3 linked regions of the Diceros bicornis minor genome follow. The protein of the gene in region 1 interacts with the protein of each later gene in a biochemical or structural test. Links are inferred from orthologs where the notes say so. Each region holds a gene or a part of one and is shown on either strand. Other genes may lie near its edges.

Evidence for each region. The genes of interacting proteins can lie anywhere in the genome.
Region 2: of the proteins of ANAPC11 (region 1) and PTTG1, one has a biochemical effect on the other in vitro, tested with the Homo sapiens proteins (3 studies listed by BioGRID). The link is inferred for Diceros bicornis minor from reciprocal best matches to the Homo sapiens genes ANAPC11 and PTTG1.
Region 3: the proteins of ANAPC11 (region 1) and UBE2C form a complex in vitro, tested with the Homo sapiens proteins (66 studies listed by BioGRID). The link is inferred for Diceros bicornis minor from reciprocal best matches to the Homo sapiens genes ANAPC11 and UBE2C.

Annotation. Positions count from the first base shown.
Region 1 is NC_080757.1:61,219,018-61,226,349, reverse strand, and holds the start of ANAPC11 (anaphase-promoting complex subunit 11), read right to left. Parts: upstream 3,015-7,332; 5' UTR 2,973-3,014; coding exon of another isoform or gene 2,749-2,972; intron 2,601-2,748; coding exon of another isoform or gene 2,401-2,600; coding exon 2,292-2,400; intron 1-2,291. Other genes in the region: ALYREF (THO complex subunit 4), read left to right, coding at 2,399-2,600, 2,749-2,972, 3,021-3,434, 3,880-4,011, 5,470-5,617, 6,222-6,285, 6,387-6,561, 6,659-6,673. UniProt on the Homo sapiens protein: Together with the cullin protein ANAPC2, constitutes the catalytic component of the anaphase promoting complex/cyclosome (APC/C), a cell cycle-regulated E3 ubiquitin ligase that controls progression through mitosis and the G1 phase of the cell cycle.
Region 2 is NC_080740.1:75,856,739-75,864,517, forward strand, and holds the start of PTTG1 (securin), read left to right. Parts: upstream 1-4,771; 5' UTR 4,772-4,861; intron 4,862-5,121; exon of another isoform or gene 5,122-5,420; 5' UTR 5,421-5,431; coding exon 5,432-5,516; intron 5,517-5,867; coding exon 5,868-6,052; intron 6,053-7,693; coding exon 7,694-7,779. UniProt on the Homo sapiens protein: Regulatory protein, which plays a central role in chromosome stability, in the p53/TP53 pathway, and DNA repair. Probably acts by blocking the action of key proteins.
Region 3 is NC_080758.1:15,531,700-15,538,919, forward strand, and holds the start of UBE2C (ubiquitin-conjugating enzyme E2 C), read right to left. Parts: upstream 3,009-7,220; 5' UTR 2,964-3,008; coding exon 2,863-2,963; intron 2,320-2,862; coding exon 2,292-2,319; intron 1,564-2,291; coding exon 1,477-1,563; coding exon of another isoform or gene 1,468-1,476; intron 1,019-1,467; coding exon of another isoform or gene 921-1,018; intron 872-920; coding exon 667-871; intron 605-666; coding exon of another isoform or gene 561-604; coding exon 501-560; intron 26-500; coding exon 1-25. Other genes in the region: DNTTIP1 (deoxynucleotidyltransferase terminal-interacting protein 1), read right to left, coding at 4,158-4,296, 4,409-4,464, 6,061-6,132. UniProt on the Homo sapiens protein: Accepts ubiquitin from the E1 complex and catalyzes its covalent attachment to other proteins. In vitro catalyzes 'Lys-11'- and 'Lys-48'-linked polyubiquitination.

The DNA of each region.
Region 1 (7,332 bases):
GTGAGGGGTAACGAAGCCACCCTGTCCATTTGTGGCAGGGCTCGTTTGGACAAAGGAGCTGCTTCATTCTAGCGTCTGCCTGAGGCATCTGATGAGCACAAGAGCGAGATGACAGTGACTCACAATGACAGTGACTCACCAAGAGCTTGCTAGTGTCTTAATAGAAGTCCTTTATTTAAAACACCTCTTAACAAGACTTTTATTCCCAAAGCCCTCTGGACATGGAGCAGATTTATTACAGTCTTAGTCACTCTGGATTTTTCACAGGAGTTCAAGTTTAGTAACAGAAACCCAATGTCACTTAACCTGGATAGAAAGCACCTTATTAGGCTTGTCAAACGCTTCGCATATTACAATCGGCCCACTCTAACTTAACAACCAGCAGGTCCGAAGATCAGACTCCAAACCTCCTACTCTCTGCAGCCAACGGACCCACTTCAACAAAACCTGAGCATGCCCGCAAACGTGGAGACGCCCAGCCCTGGGCACAGCTGGAATGGTACGTGTGCTGGCCCACAGGTGCCATCTTTAACACACAAGTGCACTGGCCCACAATGGGCTGAGGTCACATGCTTCCCAGAACTTGTCTTTTCACAAAATAACAATCTGTTGCTTAGGAAACTGCAAACACTTGTCCCTTTAGGCTCCCACAGCCTTTGTTGTACCCTCAGGAAGGGAGATTTAAAACAGATTAGATGAGACAGATCTTGTGCCTTGCTATTCTCATTTGCTACTAAGCAAAACCTGGCCAAGTAGAGCCAATCAATTATTTCCTAAGATTACATTCTGCCTGTTTGATTAAATCAGGATGGATTAACTCCTGGGTGATGCGATTTCCTTTCAGCCAAGGCAGATGTAAACATTAAGCCTAGAATAAAATAGTATTTGCACTAAAAGTCAACGATTTGAATTTCACTGTAAGAAGCAAAGCCCTATGATTATTCTGGGCATTCACCTCGCCCCCAAAACCAGGCCTGGTCACCCCCGGGGCAGCACGGAGCTCGGCAGCACTCCCCAAGCCCACTTTCCTTGGGGCACCACCCCCTAGGCAAAGCCGTCACCCCCGTTCTGCTTCATGTTCACTTGGGTCTGACCGAAAACTAAATTCACAGGTGTAAAAATCTGCTTCTGACAAATATATAATTAAATATTTTCTACTTCACAGAACATACTGGGAACAAAGGAACAATCCAAAGGCCTCACAAAGAAGAAACTGATAAAAGCTGACAGTAGGCATTCTGCAAGGCAACACACCAACTTTCTAAGAGTCAGATATCTTAAAAAAAGCGACAAAGGCAGAGAAAGGATGTTCTAGATTAAATAGCTAAGGGACAGAGCAACCAGATGTGCAGTCCTGGCTCACACCACCCAAGAATGAAAAGACATTTGGGGACAACTGGAGAAATATGAACAAGGACTAAGAATGGGGAGTGACACTAAGGAACTGTCATGTTGTCTGATGTGACAACAGTGCTGGGTAAAAACAGCGTTACATTTAGAGATGCAGCTGAAGTGAGTGGGGTGAGATGTCAATTATCATTTAGTTGAGCCACGGGGCTGGCCCTTAGTTGAAAACCATTCAGCTAAAACATAAAACAAATACCAAAACATCTTACTTATCCATTGTCAGTCTATGTGCCGGATTGGGGGGGGGGGTGTCCTTATAACATTCCATTTTTTTGTTTGGTTAAGAATTTTCAAATAAAAAGTTTTCACACATCTTTTTGTCCCATGTGTTTCATAGCCAAGTCTGATCATGAAAAAAAGCTGCACCATATTTGGGGGGAGGGGGGGTTTTTTTTTTTTGAGGGATATCAGCCCTGAGCTAACATCCATGCTAATCCTCCTCTTTTTTGCTGAGGAAGACCCGCTCTGAGCTAACATCTATTGCCAATCCTCCTCTTTTTTTTTTTCCTCCCCAAAGCCCCAGTAGATAGTTGTATGTCATAGCTGCACATCCTTCTAGTTGCTGCATGTGGGACGTGACCTCAGCATGGCCAGAGAAGCGGTGCGTTGGTGCACGCCCGCGATCTGAACCTGGGCCGCCAGTAGTGGAGCGCAGGCACTTAACCGCTAAGCCAGGGGGCCGGCCCTGCACCATTTTTTTCTTACAAAACTTTTGATGGGGTCTTTATACAAATAACGGCCCAAACCGCCTGGCTTGTTTCTGTCAACTTTTCTGGAGGAAAGGGAAACCCAAACCCAAGAACTTCGTGCAGATATTTCTGGGGAGACGCCGAGGCCGGACGAGCAGGCAGAGCTCAGAGGCAGCGGGCACAGGGGACACTCACAGTCCGGGCAGCAGCCATTGAAGGCCATCCGGCAGATGCCACAGTTCTCGTCGTTGGCCACCCAGAGCCAAGTGGCCACTCCGTTCCAGCACTTGATCTTCACCTTCATGGCGGCGGAGCCTGCGGGCGAGCGAAAAGAGCACCCGACAACATTTAGTCTGCAGAGCTCAGCGTTTCAGCACCAAAGGACAGGCGCTGCCCGGAGCCCGAGGGTCTGCGCCCGCGGGACTCGCCGTCCGAGCCCTGAGAGTCCGGCAGCCGCCGAGAGGGCGGCCGGGCTGTGGTTGCCCCTGGGAGAGCGGGAGCCCCGCGACTGAGGCTGGCCACTCATCTAGGGCACCTGCGTCGGCCGCACGCTCCGCCCGGACGCCCGCGAGGGGCACTCTGGCTTCGGTAGTAACAACAGGGGGCCGCGCGGACTACCCGTGGTGACAGACGAACACCGACCGCCCGCCAGTTCCCCGGGAAGGCCACCCAGTGCGCGCGTCCTGCGCCCCACACCGGACTCGCCCGAGGCGGGGAGGCTCCCGACCCCGGCCGCACCGCCCCGCGCCCCCCGCCGCCCGGGAAGGGAGAAGGGCGGTGCCCGGACCCGCCCCAACGGCCGCGCCCTCGCACCTCCGCGGCGAATCGCGCGCCGCCCCGCCCGCCTTCCGTTGGCAGCGCCGCCGGCGCGGGAAGGTACAAAAACGACCGGGGCCAGCTCCCAGCACCTCGCAGCTGCGCTAGCCGAGCCTCGCGTCCTATCGCGCACGCGCCGCTCCGCCCCGCTGCCCCCGCCCGCCTGCAGCCAATCGGCGGCCGCTCCGAGTACGCGGCACCGGAAGCCTCCGCGCGGCGCCGGAAGTGACGCTCCAGCGTGCTGACGCGCGGGCTCTAGCTGAGGCCGATTCCGCGCCCGCCATGGCCGACAAAATGGACATGTCTCTGGACGACATCATTAAGCTGAACCGAAGCCAGCGAGGCGGCCGCGGCGGGGGCCGGGGCCGCGGCCGGGCCGGCTCCCAGGGCGGCCGTGGCGGCGGTGCGCAGGCCGCCGCGCGAGTGAACCGAGGCGGCGGCGGGCCCATCCGGAACCGGCCGGCCATCGCCCGCGGCGCTGCGGGCGGCGGCGGCAGGAACCGGCCGGCGCCCTACAGCAGGGTGAGTGCGGAGGCCGGCCGGCCGCGGCGGGGCGGCGCGTGGCGGAGAGGACAGCGGGCCGGGCCGGGCCGGTGGCTCGGGCGCCGGGCTGGACGGGGAGGTCGCGCGGCCGGCCGGGCCTAGGAGGCGGAGACCCTGCCGGCCTTTTGTCTCGGCTGGGCGCCGGGCCTCGTGGCGCCGGGGGCGGAGGGGGTGTAGGGCGCGGCCGCACTGGCGGCGGAACGTTCGTAGGAGGGAACCGAGAAGTTGCGGGGCATGGGGCCTCGGCGGGGTCGGCTGCGGCCCAGCGCGCGCAGGCGGGAAGCGGAGGACTGCAGTGTCCTCTGGGCTCTCTTCTCCGGGCTCCGATCGGAGAGGGTCTTGCCGTGGCCGTGAGCGCGCGAGAGAGCCCTGGAGTGAGACTCAATGGGTCTGTTTCTGTTCTGGTGTTTTTCTTTTCCTTCAGCCGAAACAACTTCCTGACAAATGGCAACACGACCTTTTCGACAGCGGATTTGGGGGTGGTGCCGGCGTGGAGACGGGTGGGAAACTGCTGGTGTCAAATCTGGATTTTGGAGTATCCGACGCTGATATTCAGGTAAGGGTTTGGAGCTTCTCGGTGAGCAGTTCACCCTGCACGGAATCGGTCGTGTTGTTTGGGATGTGGCCCTGAAGTCCCCCCCCATCTTAAGACAGTGAGCCCTCCCAGGCACCCAAGAGCTAGCGGCTGTCCCCTGTAAGGGGCGGCAGGAGTGCAAAGCAGAGGTCATGCCAGAGTTGAAAGTCCCACAAGTAGGTCAGTTTGTGTTGGGAGACAGGCCCCCAGCTTGGTCTAAGGAGTTGCTGCTCCTTACTAAGATGTGTTCTGTGAGTGGAAATCCTCTGCCGGGGTTCCCAGTTTCTAACAGGAAAAGACTGGTTAGATATGAGTCGTTCCTGTGTTACTGATAAAGCTAGGCTGCTTGCTTGCTTTAATTAGTACCTGTTTTAATGATTTGTTGGGAGGAGAAAGATTTTCTTTTGTAGAACTGGAAAAGCACAGAAGCAGGATGGTGCCGGTCATCTTTCCAGCTCTGTTTGCCTTGAGCCCTGTGTCTCATAAGGAACTTGTGTCATGTTGTCTCACTTATCACCATCCCCCTGGGTCTTGTTAGTGGCATGATTCTCAAACCCATCTTTGGTTGAAGCCTTTTTTTTTTTTTTTTTTTTTTTTGATTGAATTCCGAACGCGTTTAAACTTCTTTTCTGGTTTAGTAACAATATTTTGGGGGTCAGTCTTGGAGATGGCTGGGTCAGGGTACTGGGCCTTCCTGGGTTAAATTTCCCAGAGCCCAGGCGTTTGACTTTACCGTGGGAGGACAGAGCAAGGCTGGTGAGCACTCACAGTGTCTCAACACTTTTTTTAAGGTGGTTTCTGGCATCCACTGGAAACCGCTTTTGGTGAACTCCACTTCCCGCTGTGTGCCTGCGGCCGGAGTAGCCCCACACTCTGGGTTCCCTCTCCAACTCCCAGCCTGCCTGAGGTCAGGGCAGTTTCCATGGCAGCGCTTGACTTCAGACTTTGCGGCAGGCTTGAGTAGGAGGAGAGGGAAAGGTGAGCCAGAATCTGCCCTGGGGGAGGGGCTGGGTCAGGGCTCCCGAATCAGCGGGCCCTTTGAGCTGGTCCACATGTTAGATAGCATCCCTTGCTCTGTGATGTTGGCCTTTGCTGTTTCTTGGCACAGTCCTTGAGTGTGTTGTAAATTTTCCTTTGTCGAAGAAGATAGTGACTTAGTCTCGTGCCTTTCACTGGTGGGCTTTGTGATCCTTTACCTGCATCACAGTATAGGTGTCAGGTCCCCAAGTTGGCAGGAGCCCTCAGGCCCAGCTGCTCCTGGAAGTTGCTGTCCCACCTGCCCCATCCCTTCCCCCAGTTCCCGCTACCACTGCCCTGCCCCCCATACGTAAGTCTGCCTCCCAGGGAAATATCCCCAAAGCAGCTCACACTTCCAGGGATTGTCCCTGGGCCACCAGAAGAAAAACAGCTTTGCTAACAGCTGCTCTTTCCAATTCCCAGGAACTCTTTGCTGAATTTGGAACTCTGAAGAAGGCGGCCGTGCACTATGATCGCTCTGGCCGCAGTTTAGGAACAGCTGATGTGCACTTTGAACGGAAGGCAGATGCCCTGAAAGCTATGAAACAGTACAACGGTGTCCCTTTGGATGGTGCGTTTGGGGTCAGCCCAGGAAGACTGAGGGCTGTATCTAGTTTGTGGAGTTTGGGGCTGGCACCTGTCCATGCAGGAATACGGCTTACTTCTCTGGCTGAAGGCACTTTGTATTCACCCCTTTGTCTCTCTCTTCTATTCTGACACCTCTCGTGCTGCCCCACACATCTGAGCCAACCTCTTGTGAACCCCCATCCAGCAAGCTACATCCCTCCCCTCCTTCAGCTCCTTCCGGAAGATTCACTTCCGTGAAGTCTTCTCAGAACTGCTATAGTACATCTCTGAGTTCGGGGCTATAGTCATAAAGACAAAGGTACCAGTTCTTCCATCAGATCACCCACATCTTTCTGCCCGTGAGCACCTTGGACACCTGAACAGACACCCACCTCAACTGGACTAAGAAAGAGCGAGGTGTTGCTGGGGTTGTCGTTGGTGCCGTCTTATTCTCCCGGCAGTATCTCCAGGCCATATCTCTTGTCAGGAGCCTTTGAGGCACACAAAGCGCCTTTCCAGTGCTTGCATGGAGATCAGGGTATGGTGCCACCTGGGCAAGTCTCAGAATCCTCTAACTGGAATGTGCCCTCTTGTATTCTTTGCCACAGGCCGCCCCATGAACATTCAGCTTGTCACATCACAGATTGACACACAGCGGAGACCTGCACAGAGGTGAGTTGTGGGGCCTCTGGGATGGGGTTGGCCTGTCCTGTGTGGCTGCTCATCTTTCAGGCCTCTCCATTTATGGAAATGAGTCTCCTTTTCCTTGCTAGTGTAAACAGAGGTGGAATGACTAGAAACCGTGGTTCTGGAGGTTTCGGTGGTGGTGGCTCCCGGAGAGGCACCCGTGGAGGCAGCCGGGGCAGGGGCAGAGGCACTGGCAGGAGTTCAAAGCAGCAGCTTTCTGCAGAGGAGTTGGACGCCCAGCTGGATGCTTATAACGCAAGAGTAAGTCCCAGACGAGGGCCAGGCTGGGGCCAACCAAAGCCCGACTGGTGTGTGGGACCCTGTTTTGAGTGAGAACCTCTTTTTACCTGTGTTTCAGATGGACACCAGTTAAACAGACCAGCAAATCCGTGCATGGGACAGGACCCAGACATCTCGTGTGCGCTCCCTGACGGGAGGAGGGTGGCAGACTGGGGCTGTGTGGCCAATGATGGATTTGTTTCTTTTATGTTTTAAAATAGGATTTAAAACTCTTGTAAAGGTTTTTTTTGTTTTTTGGTTTTGTTTTGTTTTTTTTTAATTCTGAAACAGACCTGTTTTGTACCAAGTTATTTTTGGGATAAATTTTACTGATTGCTGTTGTGGAGAAGGTGGTGTTTTCACCTTTGCCATAATAAAATAGAAATGCGTGTAGAACTGGAACTGTTTGATTCATCTCACTGTTGGAGTCCTTGCCTAGCCAGAACTTCAGTGTGGGCCCAGGTGGGAGGGAGGGACATGGGACCTGAGGAGGGGGCATCTGGCATCCTGGTGTGGGTTTGGAGTTAGTGCTTCAGGGGGTGGTGGCTGCTACTGTACCATTTCTCTCCCACTGATCCTAACTCCTTCCTCTCTGACTCGGTAGGTGGGAGGACAGGGGGCAGTAGTCCCTCTGCCTGCAGCTGCCTATTGATTGCCTGTGCCATGAGGTGAGGGATGGCAGGCACCTCATGTCGCTGCCAGATTTCAGATGATGAGGTTGCACTGTTCTTTCCTTCTGGTGCTGTGGTTCTC
Region 2 (7,779 bases), on another chromosome or scaffold:
ATCAAAAGTACGTCCTAATAACACATACTGTGGGTTAAATATAATGCTTCATACGTTCTTACTCTTTCATAATATCTGTAAGGGAAGCATCTCTTTCCCCTCTATATACTATTGCAGTTTCTCCCTGAACTCTCATTTACAAATGGAGAGAGACATATACACATGTATTTAAAATTTCATAAGACTCTTTCTGTCATATATATTCCTGAATTCCTCTCTTTCTATGTACGTGTCTCAAACTTTTCTACCACACTAACCCTTAATGAGTAAACGGGGTCCTATCTCTGTTTCTCTTAAAGACTGAATGCCTTAAGAGTTATATTGTCTCTATTTCCTCATCTTCTCCTTCCCTCTTCAATCACTCTAATTTAGCTTCCATCCCTTAGCACTTCAAAGAGTCACCAGTAAGTTATCAATGATCAATGTGCTAAATCCACTGGACATTTTTCAGTTCTGTTCCCTCTCATTTTGATATATTCTTATCCCTTGGCTTATGTGACACTATACTCTCCTGGATTTTCTTGTACCCCTTTCCCTGCTCCTCCTGTCTCCTTTGCAGGTTCATCTGTTTCTGCCCAGTTATTTAATTTAGGATTCCACAAGGCTGAGTCCTAGAGCATCTTTCTTTACTCTGAACTCCACCAGTGGACAAGCTCATCTATTTCCAAGGCTTCAATAGCCACAACATACCACTGTTGGCTCTCCAACTTATTTCTCTATTCCAGATCTTTTATCCGAGCTTCAGATACACAGGTCCTACTGCTTACTTCACAGCATCTCCACAGAGGTCCCAGAGACACCTAAACTCAACAAATTTTAATTCAAATTCATGATCTTCTCCAAGAAATCTAGTCTCCTTCCACTGTTTCCTCTCTTAACAAAAGACACCACCATCCATCCTTTTACATAAGTGTTCCAGCAAATCTCCATATCTATTTTATCATTAAGAATTGTTATTTTCACCTTCTGAATGTCATTCAAATTCATCTACTTCTCTCTTTCTCAATGCTACGAGCTTCACGTTATTTTTTCCTTCTAGTTTCCTGCTAGCCCATCCAATCAATTCTCCACACTGCAGCATTATTTTTTCAAAACACAAATTTTAAATACAATCATAGCACATCCCACTACCCAAGCTTAAAACCCTCCAATGCAGCGCTGTCCAAGAGAAATATAACGCCAGCCCTATATACCATTTAAAATATTCCAGTAGCCACAGTAAGGAAAAAGAAACAGGTAAAATTACTTTTGCACTATCTAACCCAATATATCCAACATATTATCATTTCAACATAAGAAAAAATAAACTAAGTCTTTAATATCTTATCTGAATAAGTGTAAAATAGATATTTTACACTTATTCAGACTAGCCACATTTCAAGCCCTTAAAAGCCACAAGCAGCTAACAGCTATCATACTGGGCAGTGCAGCTTCAATGGCATCTTATAACTCTTACTCTAAAAACCGCTGAGACACAGTCCTGGTCTGGCCGGGCCCAAGTACCATGTCTGAGGCCTAGGACGGCGGCTTCTTTTTCGGTCCCTGGTCCCCGGTCCCCATTCCCTCCTCAACCTGGCGTTCATCACCCCCGTGACCCATTTTCTGAGGTTCCCCAGCTTCACCTACCCCCCACCGCCAACTTCTCACAATATTTCCTTACCTAGCGCGCCGCAGCCAGCCCCAAACCCACGGCACAGTAACGAAGCCGATCTGTCAATGTTTACTTCCTGGCTTTCCGCCCCCTCCCGGCAGCCACTGCGGTACCTTCCGGACGATCGACACATGCGCACTAACAACTCTTTGAGTGGCTCCTTTGCGACGTTGGTCTCGCGAGATCTCAAGCGGTGCCTATTTCTCTGCCCCGGGTCTGTAGGAGGGGCTCAGCTTGAGCAGCTTCTTTTGGATTCCCTGCTTCTCCGCTCGTGTTTGTTTTAGAATCGCAGAGACTTATGATGTACAGAAAAAAAGAAAAAAATTGGCACCGAGAACGGACCACAGCTTAAGCCTCACTAGAGCATTATGAAATGAATGGGGAAGTGCGTTACGCGTTAAGTTAAAAAAAGCAGTTAAAATTAGTATTAATTAGTAGCCAGGTACTGTGTTACACGCTGGGGACGTGGTGAACACCGTCTCTTTCTCTCCTCGAATTTACATCACACAGAGTGAGAAAGACACTAAAGTAATTATTCAAGTAATTTACAGTTGTAGAGAGTCGCTATGAAAGGAATGCCAGGTGCTATGAGAACGTAAGGCTATTTGGTAATTGTGACACCTCGCCTTGAAGTGATCTTGTATTTTATGATTAGGGAAAAAAATACTATAAAACGATCTCCATTTTGGGAAAACACTGGTATCCATGACATCCCAACCCTCCTTTTAAAGAATACTTATGAAATGAAATACTGGAAAATAAACAGTGCTTTTGGTAGTAGAATTTCCTCTGATTTTTTTTTTCCCTATCTGTTCTGGTGACTTTTTTTTTGTTTTTCAAAATAACATGCGTGAAGATATCTACCGTTTTTGTCTCAGTAAGAGAGCCCATCATAATATAATCTATTTTTTTCTTAAGAATTTGCAGTGCCTAGAGTTTAGGAATGGTAAATATTAATTTTGATTTTTACAGGGCAATAGATGAAGGAATAGAAAGTGTCAGGAAATAGCCTGAAAATGAATAGTCTACGAATCACCCACAGTTTGTTTTTATCTCCTTAAAACAATTCCTGAAATTTGCTTGGAAGTGTTGAGGCCTATTTGGTTAAAACCACCAGGCGCAAGCCAGGGAGCACATCTCCCAGAAGAATCAAAGAATGTGCTGGACAAGCGGGAAGAATCTTTTGTAAGGTTTGAGTTCCCCGTGAGGATTCTGATGAGGGTCTAGGGAAGCAGGGATCAGTTCTGGAAGGGTTGCTGTTTGTAAATAGGGATTAGGATAAACTGGGATTGATTAGGATCTAGGTGCTGTCATGAGGTGAGTGTGGTTTTGCAACTGGGTATCCCCAGTAATAGTTTGGAATAGCAAAGTGGGTCTGGGGCATCATTAGTTAGAAAACAGTGGTCACTCAAAGAGGGGGTGGTTATGGCATTTTACACTTACTGCATGACCTAGGGAGACACGATGCTTCCTGTTGTAAGGGGAAGATTTACCCTAGGGAGATACAAACCTTGCACCCAAAGACTTAGAAGATAGAGCATCCCCACTTGGAAGCTGTAGGTGTTGTACAGATTTGGTTTCGAAGTGAACACTTCTTCACTTTGAACTGATGGTGATGATATAATATGGAGCTGAGACATATAGAAGGGGACACAGAGGGAAAATAAGGGGAGAGGTGGGAATAAAAGAAAAAGGACAGAGAAGGGGCAATAAAGGTATGCATGATTTTTTGTCCTCCCTCTTTTCTTCGCTTTCTTGAGTAGGATCTTTTCTTGATGCCTAGCACAGTGTCCAGCATGTAATCGGCATTCAATAAATACTTGTTCAATGAATTAATCATTCAATCAATTTTGGTCCTGAAATGCCAAGGAAGAAGGGGCAATGAGCTGGCATATAGTAAGAACCATGTCTGTGCCAGGTGTAGTGTTAAACCTTTTGTGAAAGAGTAATGCGGAGTCAACTCCTCTGTCTTGATTCATCTGCAGGTTAAAATCTATCTGGTGACCTGCGGGGAGTAGGGTTTGCATGACACCGGTCAGCTTTGGTCTTTTGAATTTATTCGTTTATCGTGTATTTGTTCAATATATTTCCATTTACTATAGAAATAGGCTAAGTCCATCAACTTTTTCATAATTTCTTTTCATATCTTGAAATTGGAATTCCTTTTCTATATCTTTATTATTCCTCTAATCTTCTCTTGTTGATCCATCTGCCTTTCCGCACCAGGGCCTTCCAGGTGGCTTTCATGAATATGTATATTGTTGAGATGTTAGATGTTTAAAATAAGTCCCTATTAAATGATACAATTTTAAAGGAAGCCTGAATTATGTATTCATTAGGATCATCATTTTGTTTCTAAGTCAGATTCCTGATGCTGTAGTAGAGACAGCATCCTAGCCTGAAATGTTGAGGATAGTCCTGCAATTAGGGAATAATCAGTTCATTCTTAATCACAAGCACAACAGAATGACTCGAACATTGCTGTTTGATCTATCTGTACTTACATTTCTTCTTAATTCCTCCCTGCTAGTGTTCCTTAGACCTAATATGGATTGTCCCCACCTGACTATATATGTATTTTTTCATATCTCTAATTGAGATCCAACTATTAAATATCCATTTTTCCTCAGTGATGACAGTTTTCCAATGACTAAAATGCCTTTCCTGCAGTCTGTTTCTTCTTTTTGTTTGATTTGATCTGGTCTATTTATTCTCTGGACGAATAGTTCATTAGTTGAAGACTTTAGGAAAATAGTTCTGTTGCCACCTTGCCTTGACCTTTTTGAACCTCACAATCTTTTCATTTAAGCACGTCTTGGTCACCCAAGTGTCTCGAAAAAACCCAAAACTCTCTGTCTTGGTATCATAATAATCATAATAATAATTTATTTCTTGGAATTGGAGACCATATTCACTCCCTTTTTATCTATATGAGGAGCAGATTAAAAAAACACCTACAAGTCCACGATCAAGGTGTCAGCAGGTTTGGTTTTTTCCTTCCCAGCAAACAAGCTACAAACTTTCCGGGAAAAAGCTTTCGGGGGCGGAACCCAGGGAGCTTAGAATCCTCCCATTGGTTCTTCCTGAGCCCACCCCGGTCCCGCCCCCTGGGCGGATGAACCAATAGGGGCGTGAATTGTGGTTTAAACACGGATCCTGGCGCGACCGCTGGAGACCGAGTCTTGGGTGATTTTGGCTGTTGATCCCAACGTGGGTGAATGGGAAGGTGGCGAGTGGTTGGAGGAGCGGGGTCCGGCGAGGAAGGAGCCAGGGCGTTGGGGCTTGGGGCCCTGGGGGCCAGGGCTGGCGTCGGGGGTCGGGAGCCGGCAGCCAGGGCGTTGGGGCCTGGGGCCCTGGGGGCCAGGGCTGGCGTCGGGGGCCGGGGGCCGGGAGCCGGCAGCCAGGGCGTTGGGGCCTGGGGCCTGGGGGCTGGAGGCTAGGGCTACCCTGGGTTGTCTATGGCGCCAAGCCGGGTTGAGCCGCGGCCTCGGACTGCATCCGCTACCCACGGCGGTTTGGTTTTGATGAGTACCAGCGCCTGTGCCAGTCCCAAACCGCCAACTCTTCAGGGTCTTAGAGCCCCTGACGCAGGCTTCAAGAGTTAACAGCTGGATTAAGTGCCTGTTCGCTCCGGATCGGGCTTCTCCTTGCGCTTAGCTCTCGTTTTTGCGTGGACGAGCCCAGGGTAGAAAGTCTGGTCTGTGCTACACCATAGCTTCTCTCGTCTTCCCTAACCCCTCAGGGTCTAATATGTATTTCACATCCCTAGCTTAATCCAGAATGGCTACTCTGATCTTTGTTGATAAGGAAAATGGAGAACCAGGCACCCGTGTGGCTCCTAAGGATGGGCTGAAGCTGGGGCCTTGTAAGTATACAGGCTGCAATCCGAGACACAGGTATTGTGAATCAATTGTGAATGCGGCCTGGAGCTGGGGGAGGCATTTAGTGTACTTGGTTGGCCGTTGGAATTAAGTTTACCCAATACTGTTATTGTAACATGCTTGTTATGGGTCTCTTTTTCAGGTTCAGTGTCTTAATGAGATTATTTAAGAGGATACTGGACTGCAGTACTATTAGGCATATCATGGCCATGCCACTGTCAAAAGTGGGGGTTGGGTTTGGGGGTAAAAATTAGGCCAAGTTTACATACAGTCAGCCTTCGAGTTGCACAGGTGTTTACTGTCTGAATAATCTTATGGTAAGACTTTTTCTTCAGCAGTCAAAGCCTTGGATGGGAGATCTCAGGTTTCAACACCACATGTGGGCAAAATGTTTGATGCTCCACCAGCCTTACCTAAAACTGCCAGAAAGGCTTTGGGAACTGTCAACAGAGCTACAGAAAAGTCAGTTAAGACCAATGGACCCCTCAAACAGAAACAGACAACCTTCTCTGCCAAAAAGGCAAGTGTTAGCTATAAAGACATTATTGAAACACTTCACTTCTGACTCATAAAATGACTATTAGCATCCTCTCTGGCTTTCTTCCCTGTGAGCAGAAGGAAATATAGATAAACACAGATAGCAGAAGAGAGTCGTACTGTTTTTGTGGACTTCCTCTGTACCTCAAAACCAGAAGTCTCAGAAGCAGCTGGTGGGGCCGGCCCCGTGGCTTAGCGGTTGGGTGCTCGCGCTCTGCTGCTGGCGGCCTGGGTTCGGATCCCGGGCGCGCACCGACCCAGCGCTTCTCTGGCCATGCTGAGGCCGCGTCCCACATACAGAAACTAGAAGGATGTACAACTATGACTATCTACTGGGGCTTTGGGGGAAAAAAGGAGGAGGAGTGGCAATAGATGTTAGCTCAGAGCTGGTCTTCCTCAGCAATAAAAAAAAAAAAAAAGGATTAGCATGGATGTTAGCTCAGGGCTGATCTTCCTCACAAAACAAAACAAAAAAGAAGCAGCTGGTGAATATTTTTGCCTCACCTGCCTTTAACTAGTATCTTGAGGAAGATTGGTCGGTAGTGTCGACTTACGGATACATGAAGTAGTAAGAGCAAGGGTGTGCTTTGCAAGAGGTCACGTTCCTAATGTAATAGCTCAGGCGCTGCCATCCTCCTCCCCGCCTCCCAGAGCAAGCACCAGCTTGTTGGGTGATGATTTGCTAAAATGTTGACCTTTGTGTGCACGAGCTATAGGTCAGTGCATCCCAGAATAAGAGGACTTTGCTGTGAAAGATGCTTCAGCATGTAGATTAACACTTTATTTGAATAACTGTTTTAATGTGTATTAGGAAAAAACAGCTGCTACTTTACATCAAACCCATGACTTACGTGTAGTGCAGCTTAGGACAAGGATGTCTTTAAAAAACTGAGTTGACTTAGAAACGTTAAATACATGTATTGCAAGGATATGGCAAAAATAATGAGAATGTGACAGAACCGAAGTGTAGGAGACGCTGCGGTAGGGATTTGCTCTAGGCGTAAGATTAAATTCGGTGTAAGATTAAATTTGGAATACACAGGCTTTAGTTTTGGCCTACTACTGTCGTAGATTGCCTACCTGTCAGTTCCAGACTAAGGATTTATCCACGGTGGGCTTCTCAAGTCCTTGACTGTCTTTTGCTGCCTCTCACTCAGTCTGTGTATTTGAGAAATACAAACTTGTTTTTAATATTAACCAAGCAAATAATGAAGGTAATACTGATGGAAAAAATCACACTTCCAAAAGCCAAAAATGGCTTCTAGGACTAGCTACTATTGTGGGTGACTCATGCCCATTTTTTCCTCTGTTAGGTTGAGTGACTGAGTTGATTAGCTCTGAATTAACTCCACTCTGTGTTCTTGATAACTTATGCTGACAGGTGCCAATACTTAAATTTCAGACTTAACTTTTGAGCCACGCTACTAGAATTGCTTGCTGAATTGTATTTGTATGTAATCATGAGAACTAAGGATTATGGTTTCTTAGAAGTCAGCATGAAACTGAAAAAATTTAAACTGTGGCGAAGTGGTCACACGTCTTGAAGAAGCCCTGTGATCTCTTGTACTAATCAGTTGACAAGCCTTCCACTCTCACTAATCCATATTTTCTTGGGTTGTTTTAGATGACCGAGAAGACTGTTAAAGCAAAAACCTCTGTTCCTGCGTCAGATGACACCTATCCAGAAATAGAGAAATTCTTTCCCTTCAA
Region 3 (7,220 bases), on another chromosome or scaffold:
GTTTCTTGCAGGTACTTCTTAAAGGCTGGAAGAGAACAGGCAGGTCTTGGTGAGCGTTGGGGACAGGAGTTAAGGTGGGCAAGAGGGCAGCTTGACCAGGGATGCACAGGTGGGGGGAATCTGAGGGGTGTTCCCAGCACAACAGATTCCCCCTCTGCTGCCCACTCGGTCAGGTCTCCTGGATGGGCCCTGCTGCCAGTGAGACTGGGGAGACTTAGTAGCAAGTCATTTGCACAAGGCTGCCTTCTGCTTAAAAAGCCCCTCAACCTACCTTAATGTTTTCCACATTAGGGATAATTTTCTGATTTTATAGCACACAGGCAAACCAGAATCACCAGGGCAGAGGAAGAACTGGGTTATGTGGCTTGACACCCAACCCCGAGCCCCCTCCAGACCCAGTCCTCAGGACACATTCCCAAGTCACTGGAATCCTTTTGTTTGAGGGAGCCTTGAAGACTGGGGAGGGATCACCCTGTGCCCGAGAAGGACAAAGGACCCACCTGTGGGGTTTTTCCAGAGCTCAGCAGCATGTGTGTTCAAAGGGCTATCAATGTTGGGTTCTGTGGGTGGGGAGAAAAAGAGAATGGTCAGGGGGTAGAAGAGGCTGGCCCCGGGAGTCCTGACAGGTTCCTAGGTTGCAGGGGAGGGGCTGGTCTCAGAAGTCACCTCCTAGCAGGCTCTGGATGGAGAGCAGGATGGTCCTGACGTCATACAGGGCAGACCACTTGTCCTTCAGGATGTCCAGGCAGATGTTACCCTGGGTGTCCACGTTGGGGTGGTAGCAGGGTGTGAGGAACTTCACGGTGGGCGCGTTGTAAGGGTAGCCACTGGGGAACTCCAGGGAGAGCTTATACCTCAGGTCTTCGTATACCTGGCGGTGGGGAAGTAGAGGCGGGGAGTAAGCTTCCCCACCCTGAGGCTCATATCCCAACCCAAGCCCGCATAAGGGGCTTGGCCAGGACCTTGAAGTTTGTCTGGGACTTGACAGAAGACAAAGTCTTACACTGGTTCTGGTGCTCTCTCTCTTATCTGGGGGACATCAGTGATCCCTGGTCTAAGGTTGTAAATTAGCATCCTGAGGGCTACCACAGCTGTGCTTTAGTCCAGTTAGATCATTAGTTGCTAACATGTAAAAATTAGGAGACGTAGATCTAGATTTCTGACTCATCTTAAACCAGATGTGCAGCAATGGGAAGCTGCCATCTTGAGACTTGTGCCCTCCCATTGGCCAAAGTCCTCACTGGTCTTCCATTCTTTTCCGTGCTGTCTGGCCCCCTCTATGCATCTAAGATGGAGAGCCCTGCTTTAAATCCACCTTCTTACTGTACAGAGGGAGAGACCAGGGCCACTGGCTCAGAGCAGGAGAACAGACGCAGGGGAGCGTCCTGCCAGGCTAAAGACAGAAGCAGATCTAGCGCTTGGATCTCACCTCCTACCTCTCCCCAGACCCAGCAAAGTCACCAACACTACACTTACTGTGCCAGCTGCTCCATGGATGGTCCCCACCCATTTGAAAAGGTTGTCTGATTCAGGGAAGGCAGAAATTCCTTTGTCGCCAGACATCTGGGGAGGAAACACAACACCTGCTGGGCTGCAGAGTACACTTTGGAGAACAGCAATGGGGGTCAGTGGGTGAACCCCTTCCCCTTAATCTCATCACTTTTTGATTCAAAATAAAGCAACCAGACCAAATTGGTAGGCTTCTCTGAGGATGTGGTTAGACTCTTGGGGCTGTACATGTGCCTCTGGGGGGGAGTACTGGGATCATGTACCCATAATCTTGTTGGTTGCTGGGAATTCAATTCAGCATGCTATTGAGTGCCCGTTATGTACAAAGCCCAGACACTATTCACAGACTAGAGAGATATACAATATGGGCATTCAACTTGAGTTGAATATTCAGGGTTAATGTAGAAAAGGTCATCTAGGAAGGAGTCATTCCAAGATATGACAGGACTAGAAATACTAAGAAGGGTGGAGAGTTGGGTGTGGGTAAATCTTAGGGCAGGGAAGTAGGGCCAGGGCAGGACAGCGGGGAGGCCTGTATGGCTTCTGGGAACTGTATTGGAGAAAACTTCACTGTGGGGGGATGGGATTGGGAGTAGAGGCTGCTGGAAGAAAAGGTGTAGGTGAGGTATATTAACTTCAACCCAGAAAAGAGCAAACTGGACTCATCTTTTTACCCCCATGTCTGGCAAAGAGCCTGACGTAGGAAAGGAGGCTACTGATAAGTGAGTGGAAGGTGGGAGGGTGGACCAACTACTTGGGGATCTGGGCAGGTAGTCACTCACCATGAGAGTCATCAGCTCCTGCTGTAGCCTGCAAAAAGAGCATTTGGGGTCACCTGGGAGTCTGGATGGGCCAAGGCTTCGGGGGATGCATCTCCTCCCACCCCAGTCTCTCTGGAGCAGTTGTCATGGGGACATTTCTCTACCCTGAGAGGTCAGATTCAGCTGGGGACTCCTCATGGCCATTTCCATAGGAGGATTTTATTGAGTCCTCACCCTCCCTGATTCCAGGCTCCCGCCGGACGGTTCTGGCGTGTTGTTAACCCCTACTGCTCCTCTGGCGTCTGTCTCCGTGCCGGATCTCAATTTTCCCTCTCCTCTGGCCCCCGCCAAGCCACCGAGGGTCCCCGGCGCATCTTCATGTTGGCTCACCCGAGGAGGATCCTGGCAGCATGACTACCCCTTCCGTCCTCCTTGGCAGGGTCTCTAAGAGCGGCCCAAGCGCTTGGCGTGTCCCCCCACCTCCCAGATCTCACCCGCTCCAGGAGGAGGTGGGGGTCCCGGAAGTCTTCGCTCTGGGCCCCACTGCTCAGGTCGTGCCAGGCCCGGAGGCTGTGACCCCTGCATCACTCACCTTTTGCCCACAGGGCCACGGGCGGCGCCCCCACTGGGCTCGGCTCCTTTACGGGCGGCGGCGACGCTGGCGGCGGCTGGGTCGCGGTTCTGGGAGGCCATCCGCGCGGCGCTGGCGGGGAGACAGGAACTCGGAGAACACCGCTGCAACTGCAGGGCTGCGGACCCGGCCGCCCGCGTTTGAATTGTAACTCTCCGGCAGCGCGGGCCAATCAGCGGCCCGCTTGGGTTTGATCCAGCCAATGGGGCGCGCCGCAGCGCTCTGTCACCACGCAACTGCTAGACCCACCCACCCACCGGCGCATCACTATTGGACGGCGGAATCTTGCTTCTGAGGGGCGATTGGCAGATGAGGCCGCCATTAACTAATGCGTCTGTAGCAGATTGGTGGCCTTTGGAAAACGCCAACCATTAAAGGGCCAAGAAAAAGTCCACGTGGGATGAGCCCCTTTAGGTCAAACGCCTCAGAACTGCCGGGAACACGAGGCACGCCCAGACAGGATCCCTACTCGCAGGGGAATCGCCCAGCACTGGTACCCTTTCCTCAAACCGGAAACCCCGCCCCCCCCCCCCCCCCCCCCCCGTTATAAGATCTTGAACATCTTTATTAGGGCCCTAAGTGTCTGAAAATTCATGCGAGGGGAAAAACTAGAGGCTGATGGCCAGAGCGGGAGACTCCCTATTAGAAAACAGGTCCATGTGCTGCCTCTCCAACGGTTTGCTGTGGCCTTAGGAACATCATTTAGTGTTTTAACCTGTAAAATGGGGGTAATAAAAGCCTCTCCACATTTTTCATATGGTCTGTCATCAACCCCCTATGGTGCCAGCACGCACATTCTGCTACTTCCATACCTTAGTTGGGTATGGAAGGAAATGAGAAAGAGGGACAGGGAAGGTTGGCAAGGTACATGGTGTTCCCACCTTTGTCTCATGAAGCAGATGTGCACGGGGCAGAGGGACTTTCCTGGGTCTACCCTGGGATGGGGGAGGGGCACATGGTCCTGGTTTCCTATATCCACCTCTTCTAGAACCCTTGATGTTTTGTCAGCCCCTACAAGGCAGACGGCACAGCAGGCTCACCATCTGTGTTTATTACAAACTCTTTAATTGCTTCCTATCCCAATAACTTTACAAATGTAGAACTACATGCCAGTCTGGGAGCGCTCTGCAGTGAGTCACTACAAACTAGCCCAGGCACAGCTTAATGCTGCTGAGATCCATCCCAGTGGTGGCCTCAGCCACGTGGGTAAGAGGGCTTCAGAGGAAGGCTGCCAAATGTAGCCAGGGGACATGGCTTCAGGTCTGTGGAGGTGCTTCAACAGCACGATGCTCATTCTCTGTCCGTAGTGTCTCCATGTACTTTCGCATCTTCTCAACCATCCAGGAGGGTAGGACAAAGGATTTCAGCTCCTCTAACTTTAGGTCCAAACATCCTCTGGAACAGAAATGAGGAAGAAAGTTGCAGCAAAGGAGGATATAGGCCCAGGCTCATCCCAGGGACTACTGTGAGGCAGGGGGAAAGGTAGCAGACAGATCACTGGTTTTACCTGTAGTCATCGCTGGCAGCGAGGTCCCGGATGTCCTCCTCAATGAGGAGGTAGGCCTGGGGCAGGAGCAAAGGAGAGTAGTCATTGCCTGTGATTCATTTCAGTTCAACTTAATAACATTTTATTAAACATCTGCTTACTCTAAGGGCTGGAAGGGAGGTGGGCATAGTTACAATTTAGTAGGGGAGAGTTAGTAGGGAGACTGGGGAATTGTTCCCTGAGACAATCTTTCACTCAAATAGAAACTTTATTGGTGGGGGAGTGGGGACTGGTGACTAAATTATTTACAGCCTCCTCCTCTTCTGAAAAAGGACCCTGAAGTAGCTTAAAATAAAATGGCAAGAGAGCTAGCAAAATATACATGGAAACAGGAAATCAGGAGGAGGAAGCCATATGTTAACTCTAGGAGCTAAGATGATTTGGTTTTGAACTTTGTGGCAAAAGGGAAAACGTGATAAACTGCACGGCTGTCTACTAACTAGGCTGTATTGCCTGGGGTCTGCAGAATGGCTTTGACACAATGCCATGATCTGCAGTGGGAGAGAGCCCTCTTGTGAGCTTACCATACGGGGGATGTTGTTCCTCACATGAGCAAGTCTTCTGTGGAAGACACTTCTGTCTAGTTTTAGGGTCAGGAATAATTGTGTGTCCCTTGAGTAATCTGACTGTCTTCATCTTACGGGCATTGTGAACTATGTAACAGATCAGGTGTCCCTGAGAGGGTCCTGGAGCTGAATTTGTGTGAACCCATAGAAGTACACTCGTCTCCCAGGTCAGCAATTAGAAAAACACTTTTTTAAAACTAGTCTTGTTTGTGGCTTAATTTTAGATCCTGCCTTTCCTTTTTCCCCCTATTTCTTATTTATATTATGTTGTATTTTCTGTATCAATGGTAAGTTCCCTGAAATCTTTTTTCAAACAAAGAGTGTAGGCATAAGTAGAGTAGTAAAATAAAAGATAGCTTTCCCTGCCAGAAAGGAGAGGGCATACTGGTTTGCAAGGCCACTGAATTTTTAACAGTCCCAGCGGTGGCACTAAGTTGAGTCCTCAGCTGGGGGACACCGCATGTGATGGACAAAGCCCTCCACAACAGTTTTAGAACACATGCAACAATGATTTTCCTAGGGTTGTTGCTTGATATGAGCTGAGAACTCTTTAAGTAGAGGTGATTCTGGAAGCTGCTGCCAAATGTGGCAAACAAGTTTCATTGCATGTATTAACCCCTATGGATGAGGGGTGCCGCCTGGAGTACTGTGTTGAGAAAAGACTCTATAGCTGTGTCTGGTGGAAGAGTGTTATGACCTATGAGTGAAATCTGTTAATGGCACACAAGAGAAAAGTAGTGTTAAGTGTGTTTTGTACCTGTCATTCTTATGCAAAGCTAATACAATCTAAATAGGAGGGATGACGTGGTAGGGCGAGGGGGTGCTGTGTGGGAGACCTAGGGACAGGGAAGGGAATCCAGGGATTACAGCCTGCTCTTCAGCATGAAGGAATGGGCCCTCTCTAACCATACAAGTCTCCCTGTCCACATTCATCCTGGAGAGCTTTGAGAGTCTCTCAGATTTGGAGGTAAGCTGCCACCAATAGCCAGAACCCTGGTCCCTGGGCTGGATGGGTCTTTGGCAGTGGCACGTGCGAACAATGCTTACCATCTTCCCCCCTGTTGCCCGCATGTGATGCTGCTCAGCCAGCCAGTGCTTGTCCTGGGGGTCAGCTGCATACTGTGAGGGATGAAGTCACAGACAGGCATTAGTTTGGCGCAAGGGGCTTTTCTCATTTGGTCCCAGAGCATACTCTTGGCCCTTGAGCAGTTCTGACCAACAAGACCTTGTCCTAGCCTGGTGGCTGTAGTGGGCTCACCAACCTCTTCAGAGCTAGTGGAGCCGAGCCCAAGAGGCCAGGGTATGGGACCCAATTCCCAGAGGTTTAGTACACCTCTAATCCCCACCCCCTTCTTTTCTCGAAACACAGCATCTCTGGCAACTGGTCAGACTGGTGACTCTTATTTTAGAGCTCTACCCCTCTTTGAAATAATGGTCTGCGGTAGCTTACAACACATGTGATTATTATAGTGACCGTATTTTCTAAAACAAAAATCAGGACACTTCATGATCTGGGGGGATGTGGTATAGCATCACGGTTAAGAACCTGGCTTTGGAATTAGACAAACAAGGTTTAAATTCCAGTTTCTGCCACTTATTTTATTTTATTTTTTTGTGAGGAAGATCAGCCCTGAGCTAACATCTGCCAACCCTCCTCTTTTTGCTGAGGAAGACTGGCCCTGGGCTAATATCCGTGCCCATCTTCCTCCACTTTATATGGGACGCCGCCACAGCATGGCTTGACAAGCAGTGTGTCGGTGTGCGCCCGGGATCCGAACCTGCGAACCCTGGGCCACCGGGCTGCCACAGCGGAGCGTGCGCGCTTAACCACTTGTGCCACTGGGCCGGCCCCCTCTGCCACTTATTGACGGTGTAAACCTGGGCAATAATTTCCTTGAGACTCAGTTTCTTCATTTGTAAAACAGAGAGGATTAATACTTATCTTACAGGGTTGTTGTTAAAAATAAATGAGATAGTGGTTAAAAAGTGCTAAATATAGTATCTGACACATAATAAGTGCTTAATAAAGGTAGGTTTTATAAAATAGGCCGAGTTGGGAAATCTGGGCTATACGGTTACTACTCTTTGAGTTTAAATAATCATTTTATTTCCCAAGTAATATAAGTATCAGTCAAAGTTTTAAAATTTCTGATCCAGCAATCCCATTTCCAGGGATTTATCCTTTAGAATCACTCAAACACAAGGAT